Lonchura striata: one gene and its partners. The protein of the gene in region 1 interacts with the protein of each later gene in a pairwise test. Links are inferred from orthologs where the notes say so. Each region holds a gene or a part of one and is shown on either strand. Other genes may lie near its edges.

Region 1 (10,202 bases):
AACTGAATCTACTTGCTGTGCTGTTTCTGCATGTCCAGATTAAAACATATGTATCCTGCAGATGTGACTGACACTTTGGGCTGGAGTGAGCTATTTGTTTTTCATAAATTGGGAACAGCACAACTTCAGAGAGCACCCTACTGACATATTTTACCTTCCCTCACCTCATTTTATGATTCTGACATCACTGGAAATGTAAAAGCAAGAACAGATTACTCATAAGAAAGCATACTTTGTGAAAGGTGTGGGATAATACATCAATTTACCATTTCTGGCCAAGATTTTTCTTTGGAAAAAACTATGAACTGGACATATCATCAATTTGTCTAGAGTGTGTGGGTACATAGAGCATAAGAAGGGAGGGGGGTTGTGTGAGAAATTAGTCATGTTTATTTCAAAGCTTATTTCTCATCCTGTGATAGTGTGTGACACTCAGCAGAGGCTGAGGGGTAACAGCACCTTAAATCCTACTAAACACTTTTGATCACCAAATCACAGTCTCAGTTCTTCTAATCTGATTCTCTTTCTGGGCACACTGGCAGATCCAGTAAATATTTTTCTCTCTAGTCCTTGAAAAAAAATTCTAAACCCACAAAAATTGTTTTTCCAGGTAAATGAATTTAACATATATAGGTCATCCTATGTTTGCACAAAGCTTTTAGCTGGCACAGAACAAAAACTTCCTCTGAGGTGTGGGAATAACCACTTGGAAGAAAGAAGAAAAAATAATTGAAAGGAGCAGAAAACCTTTACAACCCCAGAAGAACAGCCTAAGCCATTATTCTTAGTTTTCAAGCTCTTTCATACATTTGTATCATTCTGTGAATGCCATGCCTTGTTTCATACTGATAGGGTAGTACAGCTCCCTTCCAGCTCAGGTCACCCTCTTTGATCAACTTGCTAAATTTTTAAGCATAATTTGTTTATTTTTCCTATGTTGCCCCATAATTTGAACTCCCAACCATGTGATCCTTCTTCAGAACTATCTTTAAAACTGCCAATGAACTTCCAATAAAAAAAAATTGCCAACAATTGCACTGCTGACCTGGTCAGCCCAGTAACTACAGTGCTGACTAATGATGAGTCATTGTGATATGTCCTTCCCATCTTTGTGTGTCTGGAGTCACTTTTATTAAATCTCACATTACTTCAGGCAAACCCAACTTTTTATTCTGCTTCTATAACTCTGATTATAACAGGATTCCAATACATGAGCCAGTCTCCTAAATAAACATATAATAATTGTAATTCAAATAAATAGGTGATGTTTATGTGATGATGGTAACAAGGATAGGAATTCACATTTGATTAAGAAAATAAACCACTTATTTCTCTAGCAACTAATATTTTTCTCACTCCTACTCTACCCCCTGCACAGTATGCTGAAAATAGTATAGTAACTATTGTCACAGCGTGATTTCACAGGCACCAAAAATGCAGGAGTAATTACAAAGATTGGCAGGAACAGGAAATAATCTATCACACAGTTTTCAAATAAATTAGCAAGCAGTTGGTTTTTCAAGAGTGCTAGGTGCTAAATACTTTGAGTATCTTGACACTTTATTTAGGAAACTGATGTGAATGAGATTTTCTAAAAATCTGTCTTGTCACCAAAGGCAAAATTTGTCTCCACTGACTGAGTTAGAACTTATTGCAAGGAGGAATTTCAGTTATTTGCATCAATGTATATACAATTTTAGAAACAACCTTACAGTAGCTTTTGAGGGACAATGACAATTCTATGTGATCAAGTGATTGCTAATACTTACAATTCCATGCTTCTGAAGCAGGTCAATATCCTGAAAAAAGGATTCCTAAACAAAATAGCAGAAATAAAAATAGATGTTGCTTTTTCTTGTTATTACATCTATCTTGCTACATGACTGTTTCAGATTTGCAAACATTTATTGATTTTTCACAAATAATACATAGCTTGTTGGACAACTGAAATAAGCAAAGCCATAGTGAGCCAAAAAGACATACATGTTTCTTATCATCTCCACAAAGTATATCTTCACAGGCAATTAATCCTCTGTTGTGCTAATAAGACTTGTGTTAGCATCATCATAATCTGCAGCTTCTCTACCATAATTTCTCACTCTTTTCATGCTGATGATCCCTTGCATTTACTACAGAAGTGTAAAATATGATGAAATAATGATAATCCCATTAAAAACTGTGCACAACTTTTGAAAGGTTAATGAAAATTACTTGAAAAGCCAGGCTGTACAGGGACTAGGGGAATGAGATTTTCTTGGCAGTAGACTGGAACAAAATTTTAGATGCATTGAACTCCCTGATGGTTTCTGGGGGCCTCCTGTCCCTCCATGGGTTTCTTAAGACTATCAAAATACCTTTGAACATTTACTGCACATAGTTTTCAATCAATAACAAATTTACCTCATCATCCTGGTATCCTGGTTCTTCTTGGACTACTTGATCCTCCATGGCCTTCATCGTGAAAGAGCATGCAATAAAGTATTGATCACTAGTGGGAAATGCAAACAAAGACAGTCATGGGGGGGCAATAAATGAGTAAATGTCTGTAAAAGGACTGTTAAGAAGTCCTTGAACTACAGAAACATGTCAGTATGACATCATATAGAGATTTAAATTTGGATTCTGCTTCCAACTCTTCATTATCTGACCTACCAGGCCAAAAGGAGAAAATCTATGGTTTTTCACTCAGATGAACCAGTTTGGCTAGAAAGGGCTTCATAGGTATTGGGAAGAGATCTCATTCCCTTGTGAGAATCTTGGGTCAGAGATGAGTTTTGGAGTTGGGAACATATTTTAAATTAATTATTACTAGTGGAATTTATTCTGGTGAGAATGCTAAAGGCAGTCTGTGTGTTTATGACAAAAGTCAGCATAGTTGTAGACAAAATAGGCAATGGAAAGGCAATGTAAAAGTTCAGCCTCTCCATCTTTCTGTGACAGAAAACCCACAAAACAGTGCAGAGACGGCTACAACTCCTTAGTTATGTATCTTGAGAGCAGATTATTAAAGCTGTATTTGTTCTGAAGTTCTTGCTGAGGTTCAAAATGACTAATAAATGCTGAAGATGTTTAGGTAATGGCTGTAAAGAGTATGCTTGCATGGAGAGAACAAAAGAATGGTAAGAAAAATCTGTAACTTTTGTTATGCAAACCCATATACAGAGAGCTCATTTCATGTCTTTTCATGTTTAACTTGCCATGTCTGGACTCCAGCACAGCTTCACTGCCCTCTCTGTGTGACTTTCTATAAGCAAAGCCTAGAACTGGAATAGGCACTTAGTGACACCATGGTTAAATGAGTAAAGTGTGACCTCCTTAAATTTTATGAATGCAAGAATAGTGAATACGAAGTAGTTCCTTAGAAATTTGATCTTATAACCAAACTACTCTATAATTTTTTTAGTTTTGTAAATGGGTTAAGTTGCTTCTATTTAAATTGTGAGCTTACACTTGGTGTTCTAGCTCTGGACGATGAAAGGTTTTGTAGACCACCACATCAAAATGTGTGCATATATTTACTTGCTCATTTCTTAACAAAATCCACAAACTATAAGATGGGCTATGTCTAACAGAAGTTGGGATAGTTTAGGCTAAATATCTGCAAAAGGCCTTTTTTTCAGCTTCTAAATGGATACTAATTTGCTTGCAAGAATCCTGTGTATATAGAGGCTGGGAAAGAAAGGAAAAGAATATCAGAATTTCAGACTTATTTTATTCTGTTAGTATTTAATGGAAATATTCTTATAGAATCGGTTATTTCTGAAAATGTCATGATATATTTAATTTCTATTTCAGAATTCTGACAATTATGGAGTGATAAATCATGCCTTCACATAATTACAGTAAAACACTAATTAAAAAATACTTTGGGAAATTTGAAAAATCCCCTAGCTTCAAATACTGAAGGAAGAAAAACAAGTAATGCAAGAGGCATTAAAACTATATTACAATCTCCTTCTTCATTAAAAATGTCCTCATCAAATGCACATAATCCAGCACTTTAACCACTGCTGAGCAGGTTATGGGATTGTTCTCCTACTCCCCATCCTTAGGCAATTGGCATCTCACAGCAGAAAAACGAGGCAGACCCAGACCCGTGCCTTCCTGGAGGCTATTAGGGAAAACGGAGAAATTTTACCTCACCCTATTAAAAGCTTTAGATACGAAAAAAGTCCTCCTGCTTAGTCAAGCGTTGTCCTGCTGCTGGTGTGTGCTGGCACACCTGAAGGATTCCAGTCACCGCTACCTGCAGTGAAGCAGATAAAAGGGTGAAGGTCTGAGACAACAGAGCAAACCCATGAGAAACCACCAACAATCTTGCACCACCTCAAGTACCGAGGGCAGGTGAGCAAGACCTGGATACCGTGGTGTCCTTCCAGCCTGCGGGTGTGACAGACCCACTCCCTGCAATTCCCCCAGGCTCGGGCCGGCGGAAAATGGCAGCAGAGCTCGGCTCCCCGCCTCGGGGATCCGACCTGCCCAAGGCGCTCCGCGGCGCGACCTCACATCTGCTGCCTCAAAGGAAAATAACTGATTAATCGTCATCAACACACCGATTTATTCGGCTTTTCTTTGCCAGCTGCCTCCTCATGAGATGTACATTTCTGTTCCCAAAGGGCGAGGGACCGCTGAACCTCCCTCCCCCGCTCAGAGCACCGTAAATCCCCATCAAAATTAGAAAAGTAATTAAACCCCCAGCTCATGCCCGGGCAGCTCCGCGGGAGAGGGTGGGGGCAGTACCCGGGCGAAGGCTCCGCGCTCGCCGCGGCCGCCCGCCTCACGGCTCCTGAGGGCTCGGCCCCGCCGCCTTCCCGCCTGCGGGCGGGGCGGGTCCTGCGGCCGGCCCGCGCTTCCCTGCGCCGGCCCGCGCCTCGCCTCGCTTCCCTCAGCCGCGCCGCGCTTCCCTCAGCCGCGCCGCGCTTCCCTCAGCCGCGCCGCGCTTCCCTGTGCCGGCCCGCGCTGGGAGACCCCTCGGTCTCCGTCCTCATCAGTCCATCCCTCATGGTTCATCAAACACTGTAGTCGCCGTCTACCGGGAATATTGCGTTGCCCCCACTCTACAGCTGGGAAAGGCAGCATTAGTTAAAACCGGGTTGGTCTGGGAGGCATTTAGTTCTACCCAGCTCTGCCTCTTGTTTTTCCAGGGTGCCGCTCAGGCATCTTCCTCAACCAAGCATACCCGGCGTTTTTGGATTGGATGCCCAAGACCTGTCAGCTGGAAGAGAAGTGACTTGCCTGGAGTAACAGGACGAGGAAATGAGGCCGAGTCACACACATGACTTAATCTGCCATTTTAAAAAAGCTTTTTAGGGTATGAACACTTCTGCGAGACATCTGCAGACTTGGAGACAGTATTTGGAGAGCAGTCGCCCATTTTAGCTCACCTCTGGTGGCACAGTTGGTACGGGATTGCATATCGAGGAGACATCACATCTCCTGTGAGCAGGAAGAGTTCCCGGCTGCCCCTTGTGTGGGCTTGGAATGGCAGAAGGACTGGAGCAGCATCGCAGCCTGTTTCAAGGGCCTTGTGAAAACTTCCCCACCCTCTGCCTGTGGGAGGTTAAGGGCACCTTTTCCAAGCCATTTCTTAGCTAAGTCAGGAAACCAAGCAACAAAACCCACAGCCTTGTGCCATCATCAGCACACCACAGAAGTGCTTGTAGGGTGCCCATTTGAAACATTGAGCAATTTGTGTAATTACCAAAAGTCCAATCCTGGGACTGCAAGGCTTTGTCCATACAGAGGAAGCAGCTGGCACAGCTTTTGAAAACCACATTATTCTGCAAGAGCTATTCCAGAAGAGCACTTAGGCAGACATCCCTTTAAAGGTGAATTCCTTCACAAAGTATGCTTTTATTCCAGAACAGAATGAAGAGAGTGACCCTTCTGGTGCTGTTGAGCAGCTCTGCAGCAGAAAATACCTCACGCTGTAAACTACCTTTCCTTCGTTATCCTTTTAGTTTGTAATATGGTCTTTAGAAAGGTCAATGAATGCACAGAATATTAAGACCATTTCCCCCTCCAAAGAGCTACTTTGGGCAATAAATTACATTCTACAACTTCAAAACATTGTGTGATCATTAATTGCTCATTCGGCTTCCAGCTGGTGTTGTACAAAAACCCTGCAGAGCTCATCCTGTTAGATATTGTCCCAACTGAGTAGAGGCATCCCTCAGTCTTCTCCTTCCATTTTCCAGGTTCTGCCATGACCACTGCATCTCCATCCCTGAAGAACACACTGTAATGAGACACACCAGTGTGATACACATTTCCTTTCACTTGAGGTCTTGTACCTGTTTGGACAAGAACCAAGTCAAACCATTACCATACAATATTAAGTGTCCATTTGATATTTTTTTTTCTCATCCTCACAAACTTCATCCATGGTTGCATTAGGGAAATCCTGAGGGGCTTTGTTATTGGGGTTTTGTTTTCCATCTCTGGGCAGAAGTAAGATGAGCTGCAAAAGCTCTGTGCATACAATGGGTCTCAGGGTAGGAGTGGCAAAATATCAGATCAGCCAAACTTTGAAATTCAGACTGAAGTAACAGGAGAGCTCTATTGTTAAAATGGTATCACTAGAAGGAATAGAGATGGTACTGGGAGACTGAGTTATGTCTCCATCACAGTCTTGAGATCCTTAGGCTAAGCCTTGACAAAAGTATTCAATACTACAGTACTGGGAGTGATCCTGCATTAAAAAGACACATTAAAAGATAGGTTTTGCTACCTCTAATTGATTTTGAGTTAATTACTACAGATATGTTAGAGGATTAGAGATCTCCCTTCTGTCTATCAAGATGCCCTGTCCAGACCATGGTTCAGCATTGCAGCTATGAAGGAAGTAATGAATTAGAGGGCTGTGCCCACTGATATTAAAGAGATGTCAGGTCAAGTCAGGAACACAACAGATTGCATGTGACTGGAAAAAAAGATAGCAGTAATATCAAAACACCAACTAGAGAATTCAGGAATGGGTATTTTTCTAAATGAGAAATAAATAATCTGTATATCAACTATACAAACAAAGTAAGTGATAGCAATCCAAGCCCCACAAGATTCACTATTTTTATAGCTGATTGTGAAATTAGAAATTATTTTTATATATAATTAAGAATGACATGATAAAATAAAAAATAAAAAAATAAAGCAAACTGAAAAAAAATGGCCACTTGCAATCTTTCCAAAACCTAAACTGAGTTAGAGGATTTATGGAGATATGCATCAGTATATCACATGTGATCTATCAAAAAGACAAAGGAGATAAGAAAAACTGACAAATTTGAGAATGCACATGTAATTTTTTATTTAAGATAAAAAACCAAACTAGTTATAGAGAACAACAGGACTGAAAGAGACATCAAGAGATTATCTATCTCAAAGCAGAGTCTAATGTTCTTTTGCTGGGGAGTCTGTAGATTTTCTTTTATCTTTTGAGAAAGAACTAGACAATTTCAGTGCTTGCCTATCTTTGCCGCTACCCTTGTTGTCTACCCTTTACTATGCCATGTAATTTTATCTGTAAAAAATATGCAGTATTTGAGCTAACTTCTATTTTCAAAAGTTTAGGTAACTGAGACTCTAATACTTACATGCTTTTTTCTACCCCAAAAGTGAAAAAAAATGCCAGCATAATCACGTCTAAAAAAATGCCCAAACATGATGGATTATGTGATTGTGTGTGCAGCTTGTTCTTACCTGCTCCAGACCTTTGCAGCTGAAACATGCAGCCCTGGAATATGGTATTGCCACTCTCAGTAATTTTCCATAAGCTTTGTTCTGAATGTGCAAGGACTGAGATTTGTCAGGTTTGCTTTGTTTGAACTTCTCTTGACCCTACTGTATCTTTTCATTGGTTAACTGTGACAGCAGTTTCCATAATTAACTAGGTCTATGGCTAATTTGTTTTACTTCTGTTTATCTGTGTGTGGTACAACTATCATTTTATATAAATAAAAGTAACAAACAGTTATTCTGTGTAGAAAAGGAGACTTATGACTAACACAGTGATGCAGTACAGAGAAATGCAGGCATGGAGCAATAGCAGAAGCCTCGAGAAGTGGGGGCACAAGATTTGCTGAGGAATACAGGGGTATAAAAGCAACAGGCAAGGCACAGGACTGGCCTGGTGGCTGTGAACAGCTCACCAGTGATCAATCGAAGAAAAGCTGAAATGAAGCTGGATTCAGGGGTAACAAAGAGAAAAAAAAAAAAAAAGAAAAAAGGAAGAAGAAGAAAAAAGTAACATTCATAATAGGCACTACATACCATAAAATCAGATGTAGTGTGGTACTGCCTGGTGTAGATGCAGCAAAGTTGGGGCCCTGCCAGGATCACTTTGCCATGCCTTTTCCAGCCCCAGTGTTCCTGGAGCTGTAGGCTCTTTGACTCTCTCAACCCTAAACCTAACCCTAACCACTCCCCTAACCCTTTGAGCACATTTCTAACCTATGCTAATATATATTTTAAAAAATATATATTTTTAAAGCAGCATTCTCATTTTTAACACTTCTTTCTGCTTGAGCAACTGGTGCTGCAGCCTTTTACAGTTTATCAGTCTCTGCACAAAAAAAAAAAATCTCTATTTTAATCGCTATTGGAAAAAAAAAAGAAATGCAGTTGGTAAAATATATTACTCTGAATCATGAAATGTATACTTTGGGAAGTGAAGGTCTTTTTTTAAACTGTGAGAGCTTTCTAAACAGCTGTTGCAAATTCCAAAATAACTGCTCTTTACTAGCTCCACATACATAGATTTTTGTTCTGGAATAAGTGCACCTTGTTCTACTTCAGCTTAATATTAACTTTATGATAAACAGAAGTAACAGACTAATTATGAAACAAGGCTGCCCACTTATGTAGCTAAGTGGAAGTAGTAATTGCAATTGCATATATCTTTGTTCATTTGAATTACCTCCAAGATCAGATAAAAGTAGGATGAAGAAAGCAATAATAAAATTTATTTGATATGAAACTGGTATCAGTCTTCAGATTTGGTGACAATGCCTCTGACAAGCTTGCATTTGAATCAAAGCTCAGTCACAGCCCTGGTTAAAGTCCATGGGTAAATATCTTCATTTTGCTAAGTAAACCAGAAGAATTGACTAAACAATCCTCTGCTCACAGATTGAATGGGAAGCCATTCCCCAAGGGAATGAAGCACATCACATGGCCAGTCCCTGGCACCAGGGGCCTGATCACTGCCTGATCATGGCCAGACTCTTACACTGCCCAAACTAATGCCAAACTAATGCAGACTGAGCCTGAGCTTAGCTTTAACCCAGCAAGGCATTATGATTTGCTTTTCTCCTATTTGTATTCCCTCTGGTGCTAATCTGAACAACAAAAAAGGAAAGATGGAATCAGGCAGCTGGGAGCTGAGGGAGAGAGGGAAAGACTGTCTTGGCACAGTGCTGGACCAGTTTTGCCATTTGGTGGACTGTCACCGTTCCTGTAGACAGAGGGACTTCTCTGGGACTGAATGCAAATACAGGGGGTAGAATTTGTCTGGCAGCAGCTGCACATATTGGTGCCTAATAAAAAGTGAGAGAGAAGGAACAAGGATTTGATGAAGGAAGCTGGGTCAGAAATCCTGATTTAACTGCAATAACTCATGAGAAAGGGAGTTAAAACAAGAAAATGTTTCAGTGCTGCAGAACATAGGCCTCTGTGTGTGTATTCTTCACAAAGAGGTTCTGACTTCAAATGCAAGCAAAGTTGGAAGTACTGCAAATACTGTCTTAACTGTTGTGGCCAAAATACTCAATGCTTCTTTAACTTATTCACACACTAGCACTGAAAATTAGTCTGAAATAGACATGAAGCAAAGCAGCTTTATGCATCAAACATAGGACAGCAGAGTTTTCAGTGTTACAGCTGAAAAAGGCATAATTAATTGAATGTCTTTTTCTCCCCTTTAATGCATTCCAGCTCAAAGAAGCTGAGTGCTTCTGTTGTCAAGTAGGGTGAATAATGGCTTTGAGTACACTGCTCTGTTTTGTACTCAGGACAACATTTTCATTAGCATGTTTCAAAAAGAAGAATGTATTTAAAGTGAAGCTGATAGAAAACTTTAAATTTCTAGGTCATGGCAGATTTCATTGGTCACATAAAAAAATTATGTATTACAGGAAAAACATTTTTAAATTCACATTTGGAAGAAATTCAGCACTAGTATTTGACACATTTCTTCATTTTTAAAA
Region 2 (10,626 bases), about 710 kb from region 1:
TCACACAGTATCCTCTAAACCTCTAGAAAGGGCAAGAAAGAGTCATTGATTGAGCATGATGGCTCAGTCAATGACTTCCCAGTATTCTCAGAGAGGGAAGGAGCCTTGCTTGGCAACTGTATGGTATCCATGATCTTTTCCCCAGAAGGCAACTCCCTCCCACCCTGCTCTGCCTTATCCATACCTGCTCAAAGCGCCATCCATCTGACATAGTGGAAACCATCTGAGTGAGCTCCTCTTCCTGGCACTGCAGCACACGGTAGACATGCTTAGGAGGCACCTGAGAGCAAAATTGCAGAGCACACTGACTACAGTCACATGCTAAAAGCTGTTCCCCTCCTGCAGAATGAAGGAGTAATACACCCTTCCTTGACAGATCTGTCCTCTCCCCCATGCCCCAGGTGAAAGGGGAGTGGAAACCACAATCCAGCTTTCTCCTGTGCTGTCATTGGAGGTAAGAGCAGTATCTCTTCTGAAAAGCAGGGACTGAGCTGAGTGCTCCTTGCATTATCCCCAGAAGATACCGCCCTCTTTTGATGGGGAGTATGCACTTGTAAGTATAAAATCATTTTTGCAAATGCAACAAATGCTGATGGGGCTTTGCAGCACAAAGTGACTGTGCTGCTGGAGGCTTAAAACCTGAGGCAGACAAGATGAAAAGTGAGATAGTAGACAATCCTCCCTGTAAGAAAGATTTTCAAAGATTCCTGGCCAAGACAGGTTGTGATTGTGCCACAGGATTGACTCCTTGTCTGCATTTAACTCTTTCACAGCCATCTCTTCACCTATTTCCCCCAGGTTTCTCTACAGGTATTTCCATGCTCTTCATTGTTATTACAATCCCAGGACTACCCACACCAGTCCTCCTCTACATGACAGGTTTGCTCTCCTCACAAGCATTCCTCTATATCACACAGCAACCAGCTACCTTCTTCCAAAAGCAAGAGGAGCTTCCTTAGTTTCAGGGGCTACATCCAGCATTAATTCTGGGATGTAAAGCAAGACTGCAACTTGCTTATTGTAACTACATTCATGGGTGGTAGCTTGTCCCCTTCAAGATTTTGCTGCATAGAGATTAGCACATAATCTTTAGTTACTTCCTTCCATTCCTTGCTGCTTCTCTCAAGTCTTCTCTCCCTCTAGACTCACCTCTCCCCCCTTTTACAACCCTGCTTTCCCCACCCCCCTCTATCTTGCCATACCTGTGTCACTGTGTAGTCCTTCTCCTCCATTCGATCCTTGATTATTCGGATCAAAGGACCAATGTTATAGAACTCGGCCTCTTCAAGGATCCCTGAGAAAGACAGACAGAAGGACCACAAAGACAGAAAGTTAGCAGTCCATCTTTATTTTTGACTTGCAAAAGATCAATTCTGAGCTTCACAAGGTCCGTAGGGAGAAATTATATTACTGCCTTACTTTTTAACAGGCGTGAAACCTTTACTGCAGAGAATTGAAACTCGGCCCTCTGCATCTTGTTTCTAATGCTCACCCCAACTTCCTTATGCTGCCTGCTACTTCACAAATAGGCACTGCCAGTGAAGGCTTGTGCTGAGGACTGCTAATACCTTTCCCAGACACCTGGCCAAGGAGAACAACTGCATGCTCCAGTCTCTCTCAATGACCATTTTTCTGAACTTGCTCAGACTCTCTTATTAAGGCAGGAAACCAAAACTTGCGGTTCTGACAAGTCACCGAAAGACCCAAGAAAAGCCTAACTTGCCTCCTAGGCCACTTGGAGTTGCAGCCCCATATGACTTTATATGATCTTTGGCTCTCTTCCCTGTGCTTCAACTTAAAGCAGGTAAACAGAAATGGTTTTGTTTTTTTCTCTGGGGGTGTTTTTTGGTGGTGTTTGCATCCATCACCTCTCTTGAGACTCACCTGTTTGCTAAAAGGCCTTCAGGAAAAGGGAAGTGGTTCCCAGAAAGTCAGTGAGGGAAAGGTGGCTAGAAGCCAACGCTCACATGTCCCCCGGGCAGTAAAAAGAAAATATATATGGGGAGATTGATCCTTCACTACCTGACACACTCAGACCTCTTCTGTGTCTCTCATTCAGCAATGAATTTGTCTAATGGGTTAGTTTTACACCAGTCTGAATGTTTGCAGCAGGATAAAAAAAAAGGCAATGCAAATGAACTGGACTCCTATTTACATTTCAGATTTGATATTAAAACCTGTGGATGAACTCTGTCTGACCTCAGGATTACAAGAAATGTCAAGTAGGAAACACCTCAGAATTGTGTTTACTACAATCCTGTATCATTAGTTAGGTATATTTTTGGATTTATAACTGGTAAGACTATTCTGAAGAAAATTTCCTTGCTTTAGGTAAAAATGTATAAGAAAGGCAAGAAGACAAATGACCATGCAGAAACTGTGCTTGGTAAGGGCTGGACAGCACAATTTGTATTTGGAATTGGCTCCTTATTAGACCCTAGCATCCAAAAAATAACAAGGCACTGTGGACTGCTGTCTGGTAACACTGTGATGTCACCAAGTCATCCTATTGGACCCACTGTCAACCTCAGGGGAGGGACTGGTTTGTCTGACTTGCTCCACTGGAACTTCTGCAGTCCACAACCCATGAGAGCACAAGCAGCATACAGTGCACATCACTGATTAATGATGGTCTTTATTACAGTCAGTAGAAGAGATGAGCTTGGTTTTGTTTGGTCTACTGGGCTTTCATTCCTAATTAGAAACAGACATTAATAGAAAATTCAGTCATAAAGCCTGGTTAAAAGTAGATCAGGAACCAGTAAAAAATGGTTTATTGAGGCTCTGAGATCTTGCCTACTACTGTCTTGGTGACATCTCTGATGGACAGTTGTGATGCCACACCTGCAAGGATGCCTTCCTCACGCACTCCAAACCCCTTTAGTAAAGGAGACATCATCATGCTTTGCAGGGACAGCTCTCTGAAATCCTCCCCCATCAACATCCACAATGAGAACGAGACGGACAAGGTTGACCACAAGTCCTGTTTTTCCTGACTGTGGTAAGTGGGATCCTTCTGAATTCCACAACTCACCCTCTTCAGCCATATCTTTATCCAGGACCAGCTTCCCATGACGGAGGAAATTCAGAATCGGTCCAAAGTAAGTGGGATCCCGATCTATTAGGTATGCACCAGTTTCATCCTAGCAACAGATATAGATCACAAGGAGGAAAAACCCAAGGAAAACTGTAATCAACTGTAAAATGTCCTAGAATACAAGAAAATAGACACCTAAGCAAAAATGTCCACTGTTTCTAAGATTCTTTGGAAACCATGGGTCCCTGAGTGTCCCTAGCCAAATCAGTGCAGCTTACACTTCAACTCCTGTATTGGTCTGCTCAGCATGCCCACCTCAGCATAAATCAATCCAGCTGAAAAAGCCCAAAAAATAGGCCTCAGTCTCTTTGTGCAACTGTGCATCCCGGCCTGGTGTGAGAGAGCAGAGATCCCCTCAAAGGAACAAGGCTGAGTCAGGCAAACACAGCTGGGAAGTAGACCCAGGATGTGGGGTGACAAAGAGGAAGGAGAGCAAGAGCAGAGGGGAGATGGCCTCTCTTTTCCCCAGCTCGGGAAGGCAGGTGCCAGGCTACAACAAGGGGGAATCTGACAACGGGAAATCCTTCCCGGGAGGGGGGCAGAAAGAGCAGGCATTTCTCACTCAGTTGCTCCTGCAGCTGCTGGGGTCTGGCTCCGTCCCTGAATCCCTCCAGCCCTCCCCAGGCTCGGTGGGGCACGGTGCGGGAGGCAACCCAGCTGCCTTACCCGGTCCGACTGCAGCTCCTCGCCCTGGCACAAACGACACAGGAAAGATTTCTGCTCCCGACACAGGGTCTGCCTGGTGGTGAGGAAGACGGTGCCCCCGACATTGAGCCTCACCCACTTGGCCTGGGTGCCAGCGGGTGGCGGAATGTCCCAGGTGCAGCGTAGCCCCACAGCGTCCTGCATCTCCTCCCTGCCCTCCATCCTCATCCTCACCCCCACCTCCCCCACGGCGTGCAGGGACTGCCGCAGGTGCTGCCTGCCGGAGAATGCCGGGATCTGTAGTTTATCTGCCTCTCCCTCCGCAGCAGCCGTGTTTCCCGGGGACCAGGATCTTCCCTGTGACTACCAAGGGAGTCCTGAGAGGACGAAGGTTGCTCGGCGCTGGAGGATATCACTGCAGCTATTGGGGTGGGCAAAGCGACAGCTCCGCAGAGCTGACACTCCCTGGCTTTTCCCCTGTTCCCGTTTTCACAGACCATGGGCCAGTCAGCACTCCGGAGGTACAGGGTGTTATGCAAAAATCGTCGGCATTTATTTCCACAGACGTCCTCTCTGGCTCATTAAAAGGTTCTGGGAACTGTAGTTTCGCAGGTTCATGCACAAAAGGGTGATGGGAACTGTAGTTTTCCCAGCTCGCTGTTCCTGCAATGAGGAGGCAGTAATGAAAGGCACTGCAGCACATGACCTCAGCCCTGCAGCTGGTACTCTGCCAGCTTCCAGACCTGGCTCTTTTCTGCAAGCTTCCTCGGAGACAGGAAGCATAACCTCAGTGCTGTACTTCACAGCATTCCCTTCAGGACTTCCACCACCCAGGCTCACCATTCAGTGTCACATCAGTTGCCACACTTTCTTGCAGCAAAATATGCAAACAGTTGCCTTCTTGCTAACATATGTAGGGACAGTTCTGGGAAATGTATTTTGAATCTGCATGAAGTGCTGACAGGGGGCAGGAATAATTTTTTTTCCAACTCAGAGGAGTTGCTGACCCAGCAAACTCCCGCTCTGGCCTGCTCTACCAGCACAAACCCCCGGCATCCTTCCCCTGGGCTCCTGCCATCCCTGTTTGTGTCTCGGAAACAGTGAGCTCAGGCTGTAACTCAGCTCTCTGTGGAGTTTTACCTCTGCCTCAGGCGTGTATCACCCGCCAAGGCTGATGTGCCAATCTAGTGTAATAGAATCTAGCTCTGCCTCTGGCACTCGCTCCTGCCAGGCCGAGCCTGGTGCTCAGCAGTTCATGCCCCGGGGGACTCTGTTCAAATACACTCCTTTAGCACGGACACAACCTGAACAAACTCTCTCCAACAGCTCTGTTTTTCCCACTCCCACCTAAGTACAGCTGTGCTTGCCAGCAGCTGGAGCACAATAAGAATGGAAAGGAAACATTGGTGTTTCACCCCATTGTGGCTCAAAACCTTCCTCCACCTAAGCAACTTCCTGGCTCTTCCTTGACAAGGCAACAGCAGCATTGCAGAGACACACAACACTTTTTTTCTTGCATTTAGATCTTAGTGCCTTTGGAGGTGGGGCATTATTGAGTGAAGGGGCTGGGTAAAGGGAAACATAATGTTTCACTCTTACGCTCCTTTTCTTCTTGTCCTTCCTTCTTCTTTTACTTGCAAATCACTCCCTTTTATCACAGAAGAAGGAAGCATTGCCCTTCCCCCAAATCACCCAGGATTTCCTTCACAAAGATGGCATGTGCACTTTGCTCCTTCTGTGGAGGAGTGCCAAAGGGAGGAGAGGAAGAGAGGGCAACATGGGAGAGGTTTCAAGATTGCTGGCCTTCAGCTAATTTGAGTACAGAACAATTCAGCTGGTCTAGGCTGTAAACTCAAATAATTTTGAAACAGCACTAGAATGACCATTAACAGAGCATCAAAAAACATTTTTGTCTACCTATATGGAGCAAGCTCTGGCCGAAATTACTGCCCAGCCCTGGGACCAGTCTCCACTGAGCAGTAATATGCATCAAAAATGCTCAGACTAACACTGACTCGGGCTGAAGCGTCACAGTGCAACACAGCTCTGGGCTGTCAGACTGCTGTCCTCCTAATTCTGGCTCTGGGTCAAACCACAGCAAATTGGAGACCTCTGCCCTGCACTCTGGTGTGTGAGAACTACAGGATCCTGTCTGTGCTGGCTGCAGCTCCAGCATGGAACTGGGGTGAGGACTGTGGCTCTCCAATATGAATGCAGCAGTTGAGTGGCAGCCTATAGCCCCTTATCTCCCCCTGCAAGAAATCTGCCTTTAATTTTTTCCCTTTTATCAAGGGTTCACCCTCTCCTCTTCCTCCTCTCATATCCCCTCAGCCTCTTTCTCCCTTTTAGGGTCCATCTCTTGTTCTCAACACCTTCTTTTCCAACCTCCCCCATGACAATGCTGCTTATGAGTCCAGGGTGGTCTATATTCAAGGCATACTTTGTTCCATCAATACCAGTCTCCACTTGTGGCTGGAACCTGTGATGCTCTGACATTTTGCTAGTAAGCCAACAGTGAATCAGGCAAATAAAATTCCCTACAGTGGACTTGGGGGTGGACACAGTTGAATAATAAAGTCCAGCTTGACTGCCAGCTGAGCCAAGCATTTTGAAGCATGAAGAGAAAGGCCCCATGGCATATAGGCAAGCTAATCTTCCTCCAGCTCCTTGTGCTGCACGAGATCTGTGAGCAACATACCTGAATTCAAAGCAGCATGCAAAGCCTGTGTGTGAATGTGCATCATGCAGCACCTTTGCTGAAGACTGCTGGGAGAAGGAGACAGAATGGTTGTGTAGCACTTGGCTGTAAGCTGGGACCAGGAGAGATGGGAGGAATATGAAATGTCCCTGCAGGCAACACCAATTACTATGGCTCATGCAGTGCTTGGGGCAGTGGTGCTAGTAGAAAAAGGTCTGCTTTAGAATTTGGAAAAATTTGCAGAGGAACACAGTTTACTGGGAAATGAAGCCTTAAATAGTGAAACCTCACTGCTAGAGAGGAGGACAGAAGGAAGAGGAAGGCAGATGACAAAGAAGACAAGTGAAGGACAGGGGACTATGGGATTACTTTTGACTAGGCCAGACTGCACAGAATCCAGACCTCCTTCAGGACAAAAGTATTTCAGATAGTAAAATATACCAATAAACCAATAAAGAATTTACATACTGGCCTGGGATTCTCAAATTTATATAGACCTGTAAAAACTCTAGTCTAAAGGTGGCCACAGGTCAGTGTGACCTTCCTCTTTCATCAGGGCTGTTGTTTAGGCTACCTTTCTGGCTACCATGAGACCTATTCCACCAAAGATACGCTATTACAAATTCTCTGCAGCAAATTTTCCACAAGAAAGTCATGAACATTAGCGATTTGCATTATATCTACTTCTCCCCAGCTTTTGGTTCCTATAGGAAACCCACCCACTGAGTCAGGGACATAAAGATCTGCAGAACATTTATAGTCCTGGTGTAAGTCCCCTCAGCTGTTCCATATGTCCAGTAGCATCTGTTATAGCTCAAAATAGGTTTTTCAAGTCTCCAGGCTTTGAAAACATTGTCTTGGTCTTCACAACATTCTCAGTGCTTTGCATGCATCACCAGAAGGGATCCAAACTAAAAGGAGGGGTAACAGCAGAAGACACTCTTGGATAGATTTTTGATACATGATATTTGAGGGAATACCCCAGAAAAACAAAGTATCTTGCTGTGGGAAAGACGATCTCAGCTTCTCCTCTGTGAAGAAATGAAGGCAAAGTTAAGCATCTGGGAAAAGATTTGCTAAAAGCTGGGAAGAATCACTGAGATTTTGCAGCAAAAAATTCAGCCCGAGAAGGGCACTTGAGTATTGCCAAGCTTGGCATAAATACCAGAGAGAGGGAAGGGCCCTGCTAGATGTCATCAAGCCACAGGAGTGAAATGTAGAGCAAAGGGAGAGGGAAGTTTTCCACGTAATTTGCAATCTCCAGGTGGAGATCTCCAGGCTGGGCTGTGCCACACACCTCCCTGCAACACACAGGACAGAGAAAAGCATCTCAGTCTCAAGAGGAAGCAGAGAGATTCCCCACTGACCTCCAGGACTGCTGGGTCAGTGGCAAAAAAAAAACCCATTGCTTAAGATGCATCAAAAATATTTTGGAAGGGCACACAAGAGCCAGCTCCCTGCATCTATTGCAAATAAGTCTGAAACAATATTTCAATTTTCCTAATAACTAAATTTCCCTGGAGAAACAGAGCAGTCACTCATTTGGCCACATAATCATAAAATCAGCCTATCTGTGTTGTTTGTTGTGACAAGGGTCAGAAGTAAGTAAGCCAGAAGAGATGCAGTCTTCTTTTTTTTTATTTTTGTGGAAGGTTTCTGTGGGATTTTTCGTTTTGTTTTGGGCATTTTTTGTAGAGGAGAAAATCCCAGAGAGAACAAAATCTTGAACATTATCAGGGATACCTGGTGTACTTTCAATTTTTAGACATAAAAGAAAAATGTCTTGGGGAAAAATAGGTGCCAGTATGCACTATTCCTCTGAAGGTCTAAGTTCTACAAAGTTTGTAGGGTAAGGCTGCATGGCAAGAATTAAAATACCCATGCAGTCCATTTTTCACAGTGTAAGCTGACATCCAGTGTAACCTACAACTGTAGACTTTAAGGCAAAAAAGCAAATGGACAAGGACCAAAAGCAGATGGTGCAGAGACCCAAGAGAGAGGCATGCCATTGTCTTTCCTGGGTCAAAGAGCTTGTTGAGGATAAGAGGTGTGGTTCTACTCAGAGAGAGAAGGAAATATCTCATTTGAATCTCACTGTGGACAAAGTGATTCCATAAAAACAGAACTCCTGAAAAGTATTCACCTAAGCAACACTCAGGTAAGTTCAATTCAGCAGAAAGACCTTGAAACATGTTTATTTACATTGTTTAAATCCCAGAATCGTTTCTTTTTCTCAAGGGGGATTTTGGACCATGGGGCTACAAGACTGGCTTAAGTACACACTGTAATTAGAGTCCAAGTACAAGAAGAAATACAATTCAAGTCTCTAGCCTAAGTGCCAACCTCAATGCTATATTTGCTCATTTAAGAGTCATTTCTTTCCATAAAGTTTTGCACTCAAAGTGGCCATAACATACATGGGTGGGACAGAAACAGAGGACATGATTATGAGGCACAGTTATATAAATATGACCATCTCGTGAATGAGCATGACTGAATGCTTTGAGTCAGGAGTTTGGCTTAACTCAATTAATTCCCCATGCTGGCAGCAGCACTCTCTGCCATCCATCTGATACGGTGAAATGGTCACAGAATCACAGAATGGTTGAGGTTGGAAGTGACCTTGGGAGGACATCTGTTCCACCCTATCTGCTCAAGCAGGGTCATCTAGAGCTGGCTGCCCAAAACTGCTGTCATCTTCATCCTCCTAAGCAGCAGCAGGGTAAGGAGAAAGTGCCAAAGCACCATGTGCGCATGATTTTTATCCAATGCCTTCATCTCAAGACACTTAATCAGGAATGCTAAACCCATCTTTTCCAAATCCTATTTCAAGGCAAGCTAAGTGCACAGCTGGGAAACAATGCAACTCATTACACTGTTTTCCCCTTTCCCTCAGAAATAATATTTTCAGGCTGCGCCCTCATGTACCATTCCACCCAGGCCCCATCATACACTGCAACATCTGGCTTGCCACAGAGGTAGGCCCCCAGAGCCACATGGCAGGCAGTGACCCCAGAGCCACATGTGGCTACCACTGGCTTTAAGAGGTCCACCTTCTTCTCCTGGAACAGAGTGCGGATCTGCTCAGGGGTCTTCTCTAAGCCAGACTCTGTGAGAAAATCAGTGAAGGGGATGCTTGTCGACCCAGGGACATGACCAGGCTCAATTCCTAAAGAAAAAAACAATACAGACAGGAATTAATCTCTATTGTCTGGGACAAGTCTATTGCAAAGCCTCTTCTGTTTCACTGAGAGGAATATTTATTGCTTAGAGTATTTTGTTAAAATAAGTACATTTATTTTTGTTACGCTTTCCTTTACTAGATTAGTAATTACTCAGGAAGGATGGCTCTATGTGTAACCTTCATGTTACCACATGGGCACAACCTGTCAAGTTCCATTCTTTCCCCTAGCTCCCTCCACATCTTTCTCCCCATCAGGGCAACCCACACTGATGAAGCACCTTCACAGACCATTCTGAGGGGAAGAGTAGCACCAATACTTGAAGAGACCAATGAGAATCTTTGGGATGTATCAAAAGCTATGTTCCTCACCCAGCCCCTCATGAGGACAAAAAGATACATGTCTTCTCTACTGCTGAATTTTCAAAGAATAGCACTTGCTAGTCAAAAGGAGGACAGGTGGACACACTGCCTGAAGTCCCATCCCATAAAAGACAGCCATTATTTCTTAGATTATCTCTACAGAGTCCAAGCGATGGGCACCTTAAATTAAACCCCTCTTTATAATGCCACTGTCTCAGAAGGCACATTACCATCTCGGGGCTCTGGCTCTACTCCTCGGAACCGTCCCGCAGCACGGGCATCCACTAGCTGGAAGCGACGGGAATCCAGGTTATCTAAGACGTCCTCATATGTTTTCACCAGGGACTTGTCCAAGGAGGCATGGAACTCAGATGGAGCTACCTGGGTTTTCCCAGAGCTAAGTGCATTCCCCTCTCGCTGCCAGTTCTTCAGGCCACCATCCAGAAGGGAGACAGCTTCATGTCCAAAGACCCGGAACATCCACCATACCCGAGGTGCTGAGAAGAGACCTTGGTCGCTGCCATCATACACCACAACATGGGAATCATTCCCCACACCCAGCTTCCCCACATACTCGGCAAAGTCATTAGCTTTAGGCAGCATGTGATCGTAAGGTGAGGTTCGGTCACTGCACTGGTCAAT
Region 3 (10,448 bases), on another chromosome or scaffold:
CATTATTTTAAGAGGCAAAGTCTCAAAATGGAAAATAATGATTTGAAGATGACTGCAAGTCTACTGGACCTTGAGCCTCCTAAGGATTACAAAGCATATCCCTTTGCTAAGGGATGCTCACTGAGTGGAAAGAGGACTGGGGCAAGAAGCCCAAAATGGCTCTTATCTGTTCAACACCATGTGACCGCAGCCTTTTTGACAGCACTCTTTGTTTTGTCTACCCCCTAGTCTTTGTGCAAAAAAGTGATGAAAAACAAGTTACAATAAATCCATGTTACCTAGTTTCAATCAACAGCTATGTAAGGACAGAAATACTTACTCTTTCATAGCAATAGTGCTGTGCCAGAAGCAGAAGAAACTACTCCCATCTATCTTTTGGAAAGGCTTAAGAGGTTATCATTCCAACACAGCAGCACAAGAGCAAACACTGCTCTAAATATGTTCTTTAATCTTCTGGGAGGGAAAGGTTTCATCTATTTATGACTCTGCTCTCACCTAGGGGGAAAAACTGCATGTCTTACTTTACTCTTTTGAAAAAGGTAAAGAAGGTGACACATAATGAGAAAGTTTCACATAATTGGTAGCATAAAATTATAGCAAAGGACATTGCTTTAACATAACATCACTCAGAAAGATAATGCAAAACCCAAAGATTAGGAAAAAAAATAAAGTATTTTTATTTTACAAGTATAAAAAACAATGCTTAAAAATCAAAATGCTGGAAGATACTCTGGAAAACCTGGCTTCTGAAGCAGAAGACCTCTCTGTGACAACTCCCAAACAACGTTAAAGCTCCTGAAAATTCTGCATTCAATAAGCAAAGATATGATCCAGCTGAAGTAACCCTTTTTAATGGCTCTTTAAACCCCATAATCTGGGAATTATCTGACCAGTCTCTGCAGAATGTGTTGTAGCATTCTGTGGCTACAGTGCAAAAGGGTTGGCATGAATTGTAATGTCTTTAATGCGAACATCATTAAGAGGTCGATAGGTTTTCTCATTCACAGGCAGCTTCTCCAGCTCATCCAGGGTCTCCAAGCCATCAATAACTCTGCCAGAAAAACACAAGAAAATTGCCTTCTAATAATGCTTTAAATTTCACTGTTGATGTGTGTCAAAACATTTTACAGTCAAGTATCACAAGGCAGGGACTTTGCAAGCAAATGATACAAAATAAGACAACCAATACATTTTATGTGGCAAATAATGTACTTTGAAAGGGATTATTAAGCATCCACGACAGACTCTGAGAAGAAGTTCAAGCATTTGCATGTGCCCTGAAATACTCAGATCTCTCACACACTCTGACAGAGGCGTGCAGTTGAATCACTTACTTTCCAAACACCGTGTACTTCATGTCCAGGTGAGGCTGTTTGCCGTAAGTGATGAAGAACTGTGATCCATTGGTGTTGGGACCATTGTTTGCCATGGAAACTACCCCACGGACACTGTGCTGAACAAGGGGAAAAACCTCAGCATGAATACACATCTGTGAAACCAGAACTAACCTGGGCAAAGTGCTCTATGACTTAGAGCTCTTCCTCAATTATTAAGAACAAATCTTGGTTGCTAATATATTCTATCACAGTCAATAATTAGCTGCTCAGAATGGCTCTTACAGTGAAAAACTGCTTCTTTGCCCACTACATGAAAAATGCTGTCAGAAATTCTCTTTACTTCTGCTTTCTGTGATGAAAACTCTCAAATCTCACTTGCCAAGCACAGAAATGCCTGTTCCTATTATAATAATAAGCTATTGTTCTCCAACCAAGAGAAAATTATTGCCGAGAAAATTAAAATGAAAACATAAGTGCATATTGAGAGCACATAAATACCTTTAGATATTCACTGAATTCATCTTCAAACTTCTTGCCCCAGATGCTGTTACCTCCTTTCCCAGTGCCTGACAAAGAAGCACCACAGTAGAAATTACTGGATTTTCAGACTGAAAAACCCAGAAATTATGTTTGTTCTGTTACAGCATTTTACAACAAAGAGTCCAGACAGCCTGCAATTAGTCTGAGGCAGGCTCTTGATACTGCACTAAGACATAACTCTATATAAGGAATCTATTAAGTAGCAGAACAAAACACTGACACATCCTCAAATTAAATTCAGTATGAGTATGAACAGACACAACTGAATCAGCTTTTCTCCCAAACAGCTGACACCGTCTGGGACGTTTTCCCCAAATGATTTAGATGCAGCCTTTCAGGCAGAAACCACACAAAGCACATTAGTACCTGCTTCTAATTTAGTCAACAGAACCATCATATTTAGTGAAAATAGCTGCTAAAACTCAAGTTTGTAGAATGCATAATTACTTAAAACTGGGGTAATGCCTGCACTTCTGTAAGCCCTCCACAAAAAAAACCCCTCATCATAAAAAAACTCTTATCAACAATACAATAATTCTTTTATTTTTATTTTACTTACGTTTTAGTTTTAATACCCATAATTCCTTTTTATTTCCTTACATTTTATTTTTATGTACATTTTTTCCATAGAAAGACCCAGACAGAAGAATTTACCTAATGGATCCCCTGTCTGAACCATGAAGCCCTTTATATTTCGGTGAAATACGCATCCATTGTAGTAGTTACTAGCACAAAGAGCCAGGAAATTCTACAAAAATCAAACAAACCATATTAACAACTGAAAAATAGTATTATCTTACTAAAATGACAGCATTGGCAAGACCAGTGCTTTTACCTCTGCCTTGCTTTGTGTGAATTCCACAGACTTTTGCTGCAGAGTAGTCATAAACAAATCATAGATAATAAACTCCTTTGATAGTGTCACACACAAAGAATACAAAGCTTTCAGTGCAAGGCTGTCTGACTTGAGGAACAAACAAGAAGCCTAAGACATTCTCTCAAATATCATTCCCATTCAATAATTTTATTTGGCACATGTAATTTTGTAATCAATAACTTAATGCCTCAGCTTTTTCATTAAAATAAATGCATTTTATTTCAATTTCAATTTATTGCAAAAATTCAAAACTGGGGTGCCTGACAAACCGTGAGTCTCACTCTTTCAAACTAAAATCAAGTCTGTGGGGATATGAGTAAACCCATGGAAATTTGGGAATCCTAGGCTGGGTGCTGTATTTTGCCTTAAAGGCAAAGGACACTTTGGGAGATGCTGGAACTTCAAAAGAAGCACCCCTTAACTAAACCTTATCAAGAGAGAAACAGGCATGAAACTCCAGTCAGTATGACAGAGTGCACAAGTTCCATGATTGGAACAGACACTACACCAGCTTAAAATGTTGGCGTTCCATTACATGAAAAGGTAAAATTGCAAAAGCTACTTCACCTCCTTCACAGGCTTGACTATTGCTACTGCTGTTTCACCACTAGGCAATCCTACTCCTGGTGTGTGACTTACTTCACAAGTCTTTGGAGTACGCTCACAGAACAGTTCAATTTTAATATCTCCCACATCCGTATGCAGTGTGACAGCCTGAGCAAAAGGCAGAAAACAGTAAATAAATCAGCAATAAAATACTAACATACACTGTTTTATTTCCCAGTCCCATCAAGAACATAAGTAAGTTTGCACTGCATTGAAGTTTGCAGTGCAAACTGCAAGTTTCACTGTTTCAACATTTGGCTATAAGCAAGGTTACTGTCACAACCAATCCACATTTCCAGTGAAATCACCAGAAAGCACTCAGTTTCATTTAGTTTCAGGACAAATCAAGTTTGCCATGGTAATGCAGTACCTGTTGCATGCTCCACTCCAGAAATACATTATTCATTTGCCAACTCAGGGCCTACTCAGTCACTTGAAAGTAAAGGTGAAGAATCAAGTTTGTATCTATTTTGGATGGTGCACACACCGCGCTGCTTTACAACTAGAGAAGCAACTGATGCCTGCAGCCTTTTGATTAATAAGGCTAGTTCTGAATGGCAGAATGTATAATGTGCCTTCACAGATAAGTAAATCTCAAAATTTAACTTATAAGTTCTTAAGAAAAGTAAGTTACCTTCATAAAATTTAAAATCAGCTTACCCAGTGACGTAAGCAAATTTATCTCTACAGGACATATATATTACAGTGCTTCTATGGAAAGTGCTAAACTATGCAAAAACAATTACTGTGGGGATAGCTGTACAGCAAAACTAATTAAAATCAGCATCACATTGATACTGGCATACTGCTCCAAAAGTATACAAGTAAAGGAGATAGCTGTCCACAATGTCCACGAAGATCCTATAGAAGGTGTATGATCAGTTTAAGACATATATATCTATTTCTCAAATTGCTAACTTTTTAAAAGCCTCTGAGCACAGAGGTTTACATACACTGAATCAGAGGTATGTTCTTGCAACTAGACTAATGCTTCTGTGGCAAAAGAAACCAAACTAGATTATCAAATACATGCCAAAGTAGCATTAAAATCTGGGATCTCTAAAGTGAAAGCATAATGATGTGTTAGACTAATGTAAATCAACCTATTTTCCTTTTCATAGTATCTTTTTATAAGTTTGAAATGAAAACCCTGAACTTTTCATGAAAAATTACTCACAGCATCAGAGTAAAACGTGTAATCCTTTGAGACGGAGAGAAGCTATTCGCTTTCCAAGAGATGACCATTTCAGAAAACATATAAAATGTGCTTTTATTCTTACCATGCCTGCTTATCAAAATCTGAGGTAGCCTTCTATACAGCAACTTCCTGTAAACATAAGAACTTTGTTGGGTTTTTTCCTACCAACCCCCATATGGTTTTGATTCTAAAATATTTGTTGGTTACATGCTTTTCCACCACACAGTTCTAGGGTGCCATTCCAATGACTCTGTGGCTAAATTTTTGCATTGAGCAACTACACAGCATAGAAAAAATGAAAAACTACTAGAACAAGACCACTTAGAGAACGGGGAAGAGGGTAAAAACACTCGTTCCTAGGATGAAAATTCATACCAAGCAATCAGTTTTTGCAAGTATTGTGGCAGTCGGCAGAACAGCAGATGGCAGAAATTCATAGGTAAAAGCCACATGCCACTACCTAACAGATGCGTGATTTGGGGCCAACTCATGACAGCTGTGAGTGCTTGAAACAGACAGGTACCTGCACGCAACCACAGGATCAGACTTTTTAACTTTGTAATACTTTCAATTAAAGTGTTTAAAATGCCGGCAATAAAAGCGCGGCTACATAGAAGCCGAGATATATATTTAAGCGACAATAGGTTCACTATACACCCGCCCTCGCCGGTGAAGCCCCGGTCCCGTGTCCCCACCTCAACCCACCTGTCCCCGCTCCCCGTCACCCACGGCAGCCGGAGCTACCGCTCCCTCCCTGCCCAGGTACCGCCACCGAAATGCCGCGCACAGAACAGCTGGGCTCCTCCACCGGCGGCACCGCCGCCCGCCGCGCTCGGAGAACGCCTGAACCTGCCGGGGCTGACGCGGACCCAGCCCCCGCCGGGGACAAGCGGCGGCGCTCCCGCGGGCCTCCGCTCCCTCCCGGCGCTACCGAGGGGCCGCCCCAGCCGCGCTGAGCACGGCGGAAGCGGCGGAGCCGAGCGCAGGTCCCGCCCCGCCGCGCCGGCGCTGCCCCGGCGGGAGGTGAGCGAGGCCGCCGAGGAGGGAGCGCCTGTGCGGCCGGGCTCTGCGGGTCGGCCGTGCCGCGGGAAGAGGGGCGGAGCTTGAGCTCCGCGCGCTTGGTGCTGGCCAGCGGGGCGGCGTGTGCGGGAGCCCCGGGGTGGGGAGGGGCTCGGTACCGGGTGGTACCGGGTGGTACCGGGTGGTGCCGGGGGTGGGCGGGCGCAGCGTCCACAACCCGAGCGGCCGTGGCTGCTGTTTGCCTGGTGGGTTCCCGGGGCTCACGGCGGCCTGTTTGCCCCGCACAGGTCTCGCATGCTGCTGTCTGTGCCGCCGCTGCTCCGCCCGCCTCTCCACCGCGTCTGTGCCTTGGGCCGCCCGCCCGTACGCGCCCTCATGAACCTCCGGGAGCTCGTTTCTGCTCTGAATGACTTCGCATCCCCCGCTCTGGCTGAAAGCTGGGACAATGTGGGATTGCTGGTGGAACCAAGTCCTCCCCACACTGTGAACACCCTTTTCCTCACTAACGACCTCACTGAGGAGGTGATGGAAGAGGCAGTGCAGAGGAAAGCAGACCTCGTTCTTTCTTACCACCCTCCTATATTCGCACCACTCAAGCGAATAACGTGGAAAACCTGGAAGGAACGGCTGGTGGTCCGAGCCTTGGAGAACAGAATCGGGATTTATTCTCCACATACGGCGTACGATGCCATACCTCACGGAGTTAATAACTGGCTAACAAAGGGACTCGGTGAGATTCTGTTAAGAGCAAACAAGTTAAAATTATTAAAGATGTATGCTATTTTAAGTGGGATCTTTCATCATTTGCCTTCTAGCTTTTACAGGTGTGATTTGAGGATTGTTTTTATTTTTCCTAATATTTTTATGGTACTGTAACCTTAAATACATTTTAGGACATTTTTCTTGGTGGTATATACCAGATAACAACATAATAGTTTTAGATGTATGACTCTACTATTGGATGTGTCTGTAACTGGTGGCGCATATATATTGTCCACTGTAGTTGCAATTCTGATACCAATGACTTTAAATCACCACCTTGAAAGTATGAGATCTCAATATTTGCAAAGCATTTAAACTATGTGAAGTTATTTTAGATTTTTATCCTGTATTGTGGCTCACAGATTACAATAGCTGCATCTTTTCCAGTCTGTTATACAAACTAGGAACTCCTTCTGGTTTTGGACAATCCTTAGGATAAAACTGATGGCATTGAGACTGGCAGATAATACATATCCATCTTTGGACTTAAAACAGACTGTGCCTAATGGAGACAGAATGAAAAGCCTCAGTTCTAGTCAGGAAAAAAGGATTTGAGTGCAAAATTTGTACCTTTTGTGCTGCATCTCTATAAGGTATGTGCCAAATCAGTGTTAGGATACCTACCCTGCTTTATAAACCAGCAATCTTGTACTGTTTTCTCAGGCACCTGTACTTCTGTCCCACTGCATCCATCAACTGCACCAAGCTCTCCAGCTGAGGGCACTCACCGGGTAGAATTCTGTGCAGATGCTGAGCATCTGGATGCAGTGCTGTCCAAAATCAAAGACATCCCAGAGATCTCTTGTCTCACTACTCTCCCAGCCAGGTATCTGCTCCACTCTCTAATGTTGTATTCTTCCTGTTATTTGAAACAATAAGTTGCTGTAATTGTATTTTACTGTTCTAATAATTTTGTTCCTCTGTGCATTGCTGCTATGTTTTTCAGCAACTGAATAACAATCTTAAGGAATAGTTGTCCCTTTCCGGTCAATCTATGTCATGCTAAAAGGTAATAGCAACTCCAGTTTAGCATCACATAGATTAGGGGTGTTAAAAAAGAGTATTAACCAGAAATTTGATCGGGACAGGTGAGTTAAATTCCCATATTTGTTTTTTCCAAGACAAGTCTAGGCTATTACAATGCTGCCTTTTTTCCTTTCTCAGTGTTAGAACAGCCACTGGGATAAAATAATAATAATTATAATGCCAAAACTAATAATTATAATACTCTAATATAGTAATTACAATTCCAAAATTTTATCTAGCTTCTTAACAAGCACCAGGCATATCTTTCCTCAGGGTTGAAGGTCAGGAGCAAACACGAGTCAGTCTCAACTGCTCTCAGAAAGCACTGCTGGAGGTGGTGGCATTATTGTCCCAGAACAGCCTTCTTTATCACAAGACCGAGATTCTCTTACTACAGAAGGTAACAAAATCACAAAATTACTTCCTGTGAATGTATTACTTGTGTGAGCTGAATGCAGTAGTCAGTGGCATCACAGCTTTCCAGTGCTACCCCAGTGCTCCGACATACAGGCATACGGGAATTTGAAGCCACACACATTTTCCAAAGCAATGAAACTATCTATGTGGTCTGTACTAATTCTTAAATCAGTTCCAATAGCTGGTGTAGTTGATATGTTACATTTGAGAACATCACATAAATACTTTTTTGTAAAGTTCAGTGTTGCTCCTGCAAACCAAATATACTCATCCTGTTAAAGTGTGGAAAGCACATGGAGTCAACTTTCTCACGGTAATTTAAATTTTTTTCAGCCTCTTCTTCCCCATACTGGAATGGGACGCCTGTGCACCCTGAGCGAGCCAGTCTCCTTGTCAGACATAATTGAGCGTGTCAAAGGCCACCTGCAGCTCCCCCACGTCCGCGTAGCCGTGGGAGCTGGCAGGACACTCGGTAAATGGGCCTGCAAGCCAGAATGCCTGCTAGGACTGGCACTGCAGGAACACAGGGAGCATGAGTGTGTGAACAACACTGGGAAACACTGCTGCCTTTACCACGTTTACCTCCAAGAACTAGGAAGCACTGTTAAGAAATAGCATCTTAGAATTTACGGTCATGTGAAGTCTCATCTGTATTTTAATCGGATTCCATAGTACGCTGGTTGACGTGGTAGAGACTGAACAAATTGAAGGAAAGATAGCATTTTTTGTAATTTATATAATGACTAAATTTTTTATTTTCCTGCCCAGGATATCAGGCCCAAAGGTGTACTGTTTCATTTTATGTTCCCTTTTGTGACTGAATGTTAAAATTCAGAGCACTCTAAGAGTAAGACACTTTATGGTATCATGAACACAGAACTGTGTTTTGATGAAAGATAAGATAAAGAAGGTAAACTAACTCAAACAGTGGAGTCATTAGTAAGATGTGGAGTAAACATCCTCTTAATCCCAGCTACCTATCCCAATGTCCAAGGAGCACAGCTGGTAGAATTTGTGAGAGTAAATTTGTTGAGACAGAAATCTTATTAGACTGACAATTGCACTAAAAAATATATGTCACTGTCATATATGTAATAGCTTGGAATTAGCAATCACAGCAAGTGGACAATTTTTATTGGCATCGAGCAGCTTTCAGCTTGCATTAGGACTGGCCCTCTGAGAACTGAAAGGTAGGAACCAGTATATCTCAGAGGCAAAGTGCTGCCTTAGTGGCATTATTAGTTGGGAAGCTACTGGTGGTGGAACAGAAGAGTCCTGGAAAGAGTAGTGGCCTGCCTATTAGAGTTCAGAAACCTAACTAAGACCTCAGTAGGAGAAAGGTTGCCAGCAGCCAGCCTCTGTGCTGGAGTTTTCTGCGAAGTTTCCTGTCCCTTGAAAAAAATCTACTTATCACAGAGGATTTTGCTGTATTGTCAGAGGTGTTATAGGCCCATGACTTTCAAACTGACAGATGTCTTCTCCAAAATCAAAGGTAGTAGTTAACTGACTCTAAAATCAAGGTAGTAGTTAACTGAAACAATTACTAGCAATACACACATGAGGGTTCAACAGAGGGGAAGGAGCTTGCTTAACTGTGGCACATTCTACCCTGCAGAATCACCACTGAAGAAAGTTGCTCTGTGTGCTGGTTCCGGGAGCAGTGTACTGAAGGGAACAGAAGCTGACCTCTATCTCACAGGTAACAGACTGCTGTTTCATTATTTTTATAAAAATAGTCATTAGAGAAAAAACAAACCCCAGCAATGACTGTTGAAATACTTGACTGCAAAGAATTACCTGTTATTTATAATTGAGAACCAATTAGTTAGCTATTGGAATGACAAACTAACATTAAAGATAACATGGATCAAACGGCAGTGTGGCACAGTGAAAGATACTTGAATTAAAACATTGCTTTACAGCATTTATTTCAACACAAAATCGGTGCTGATGGCAGCGAGTTGCAACTTTAAGTGTGTTTCTCCTTTGGCAACATGTATTTCCTCTATTCCCTACAGAATTCCCTAATGAAGAAAGAGAATATAATGTAGTGTCTACAGAGCCTTCCAAAGAAACTCTATGGTGTGTCTAGCCAAAGGGACACTTAGTCCATTATTCTCTCTTCTAACAGTGGGACAGCTATTCCCTGTGGCTCAGCAATGTGAAGGCTGCCTTGCATTCTTGTAGGAATTGCTGCCCCTTTGCAACCCCTGCAGAGGTGACCCTCAGGCTTCCCAACTGCTTTCCTCCATCCTCTTCCAGACCACTCTGAGCATTTTTATTTTCTGCCCAAATTAGTGTAATTACAACCACTCAAAGATGGCAAGGAATTTCTGTGGTTTGACTCAGCTGCATACAGGGATATCAGCTGAACCTTTCAAAGGACCCTGGGCCAGGAATGTTCCATGTTCCTACTGAGCAGATGGTGTTGCATTTCTGCTTATGGCCTACAATCCATTACATCACCACAGCTTTTAGCTGAGATGCTCCATACATTGCAGAGACCTGGTTACCTGAACTGTACCATTCATGATCTCTGTGACATTTCTTTCTCAAAATGGCAGGAGAGATGTCCCACCATGATGTGCTGGATGCAGTTGCCAATGGGATAAGTGTTATTCTGTGTGAGCACAGTAACACTGAGCGAGGATTCCTGTCAGAGCTG

What was found.
Region 2: the proteins of DMC1 (region 1) and KCTD17 interact in binary tests that used the Homo sapiens proteins (3 or more experiments, as listed by UniProt). The two-hybrid records come from large-scale screens. The link is inferred for Lonchura striata from reciprocal best matches to the Homo sapiens genes DMC1 and KCTD17.
Region 3: the proteins of DMC1 (region 1) and NIF3L1 interact in binary tests that used the Homo sapiens proteins (3 or more experiments, as listed by UniProt). The two-hybrid records come from large-scale screens. The link is inferred for Lonchura striata from reciprocal best matches to the Homo sapiens genes DMC1 and NIF3L1.

Annotation. Positions count from the first base shown.
Region 1 is NC_134607.1:23,806,808-23,817,009, forward strand, and holds the start of DMC1 (meiotic recombination protein DMC1/LIM15 homolog), read right to left. Parts: upstream 4,155-10,202; 5' UTR 4,144-4,154; intron 2,489-4,143; 5' UTR 2,458-2,488; coding exon 2,401-2,457; intron 1,815-2,400; coding exon 1,770-1,814; intron 1-1,769. UniProt on the Homo sapiens protein: Participates in meiotic recombination, specifically in homologous strand assimilation, which is required for the resolution of meiotic double-strand breaks.
Region 2 is NC_134607.1:23,098,966-23,109,591, reverse strand, and holds the start of KCTD17 (BTB/POZ domain-containing protein KCTD17), read right to left. Parts: upstream 4,164-10,626; 5' UTR 3,971-4,163; coding exon 3,764-3,970; intron 3,144-3,763; coding exon 3,035-3,143; intron 1,295-3,034; coding exon 1,203-1,294; intron 281-1,202; coding exon 185-280; intron 1-184. Other genes in the region: MPST (3-mercaptopyruvate sulfurtransferase), read right to left, coding at 9,311-9,609, 10,215-10,626. UniProt on the Homo sapiens protein: Substrate-adapter for CUL3-RING ubiquitin ligase complexes which mediates the ubiquitination and subsequent proteasomal degradation of TCHP, a protein involved in ciliogenesis down-regulation.
Region 3 is NC_134610.1:27,186,273-27,196,720, reverse strand, and holds the start of NIF3L1 (NIF3-like protein 1), read left to right. Parts: upstream 1-5,872; coding exon 5,873-6,308; intron 6,309-7,003; coding exon 7,004-7,166; intron 7,167-7,639; coding exon 7,640-7,766; intron 7,767-8,116; coding exon 8,117-8,255; intron 8,256-9,398; coding exon 9,399-9,482; intron 9,483-10,347; coding exon 10,348-10,448. Other genes in the region: PPIL3 (peptidyl-prolyl cis-trans isomerase-like 3), read right to left, coding at 925-1,051, 1,335-1,453, 1,836-1,903, 2,532-2,625, 3,394-3,468, 4,641-4,643. UniProt on the Homo sapiens protein: May function as a transcriptional corepressor through its interaction with COPS2, negatively regulating the expression of genes involved in neuronal differentiation.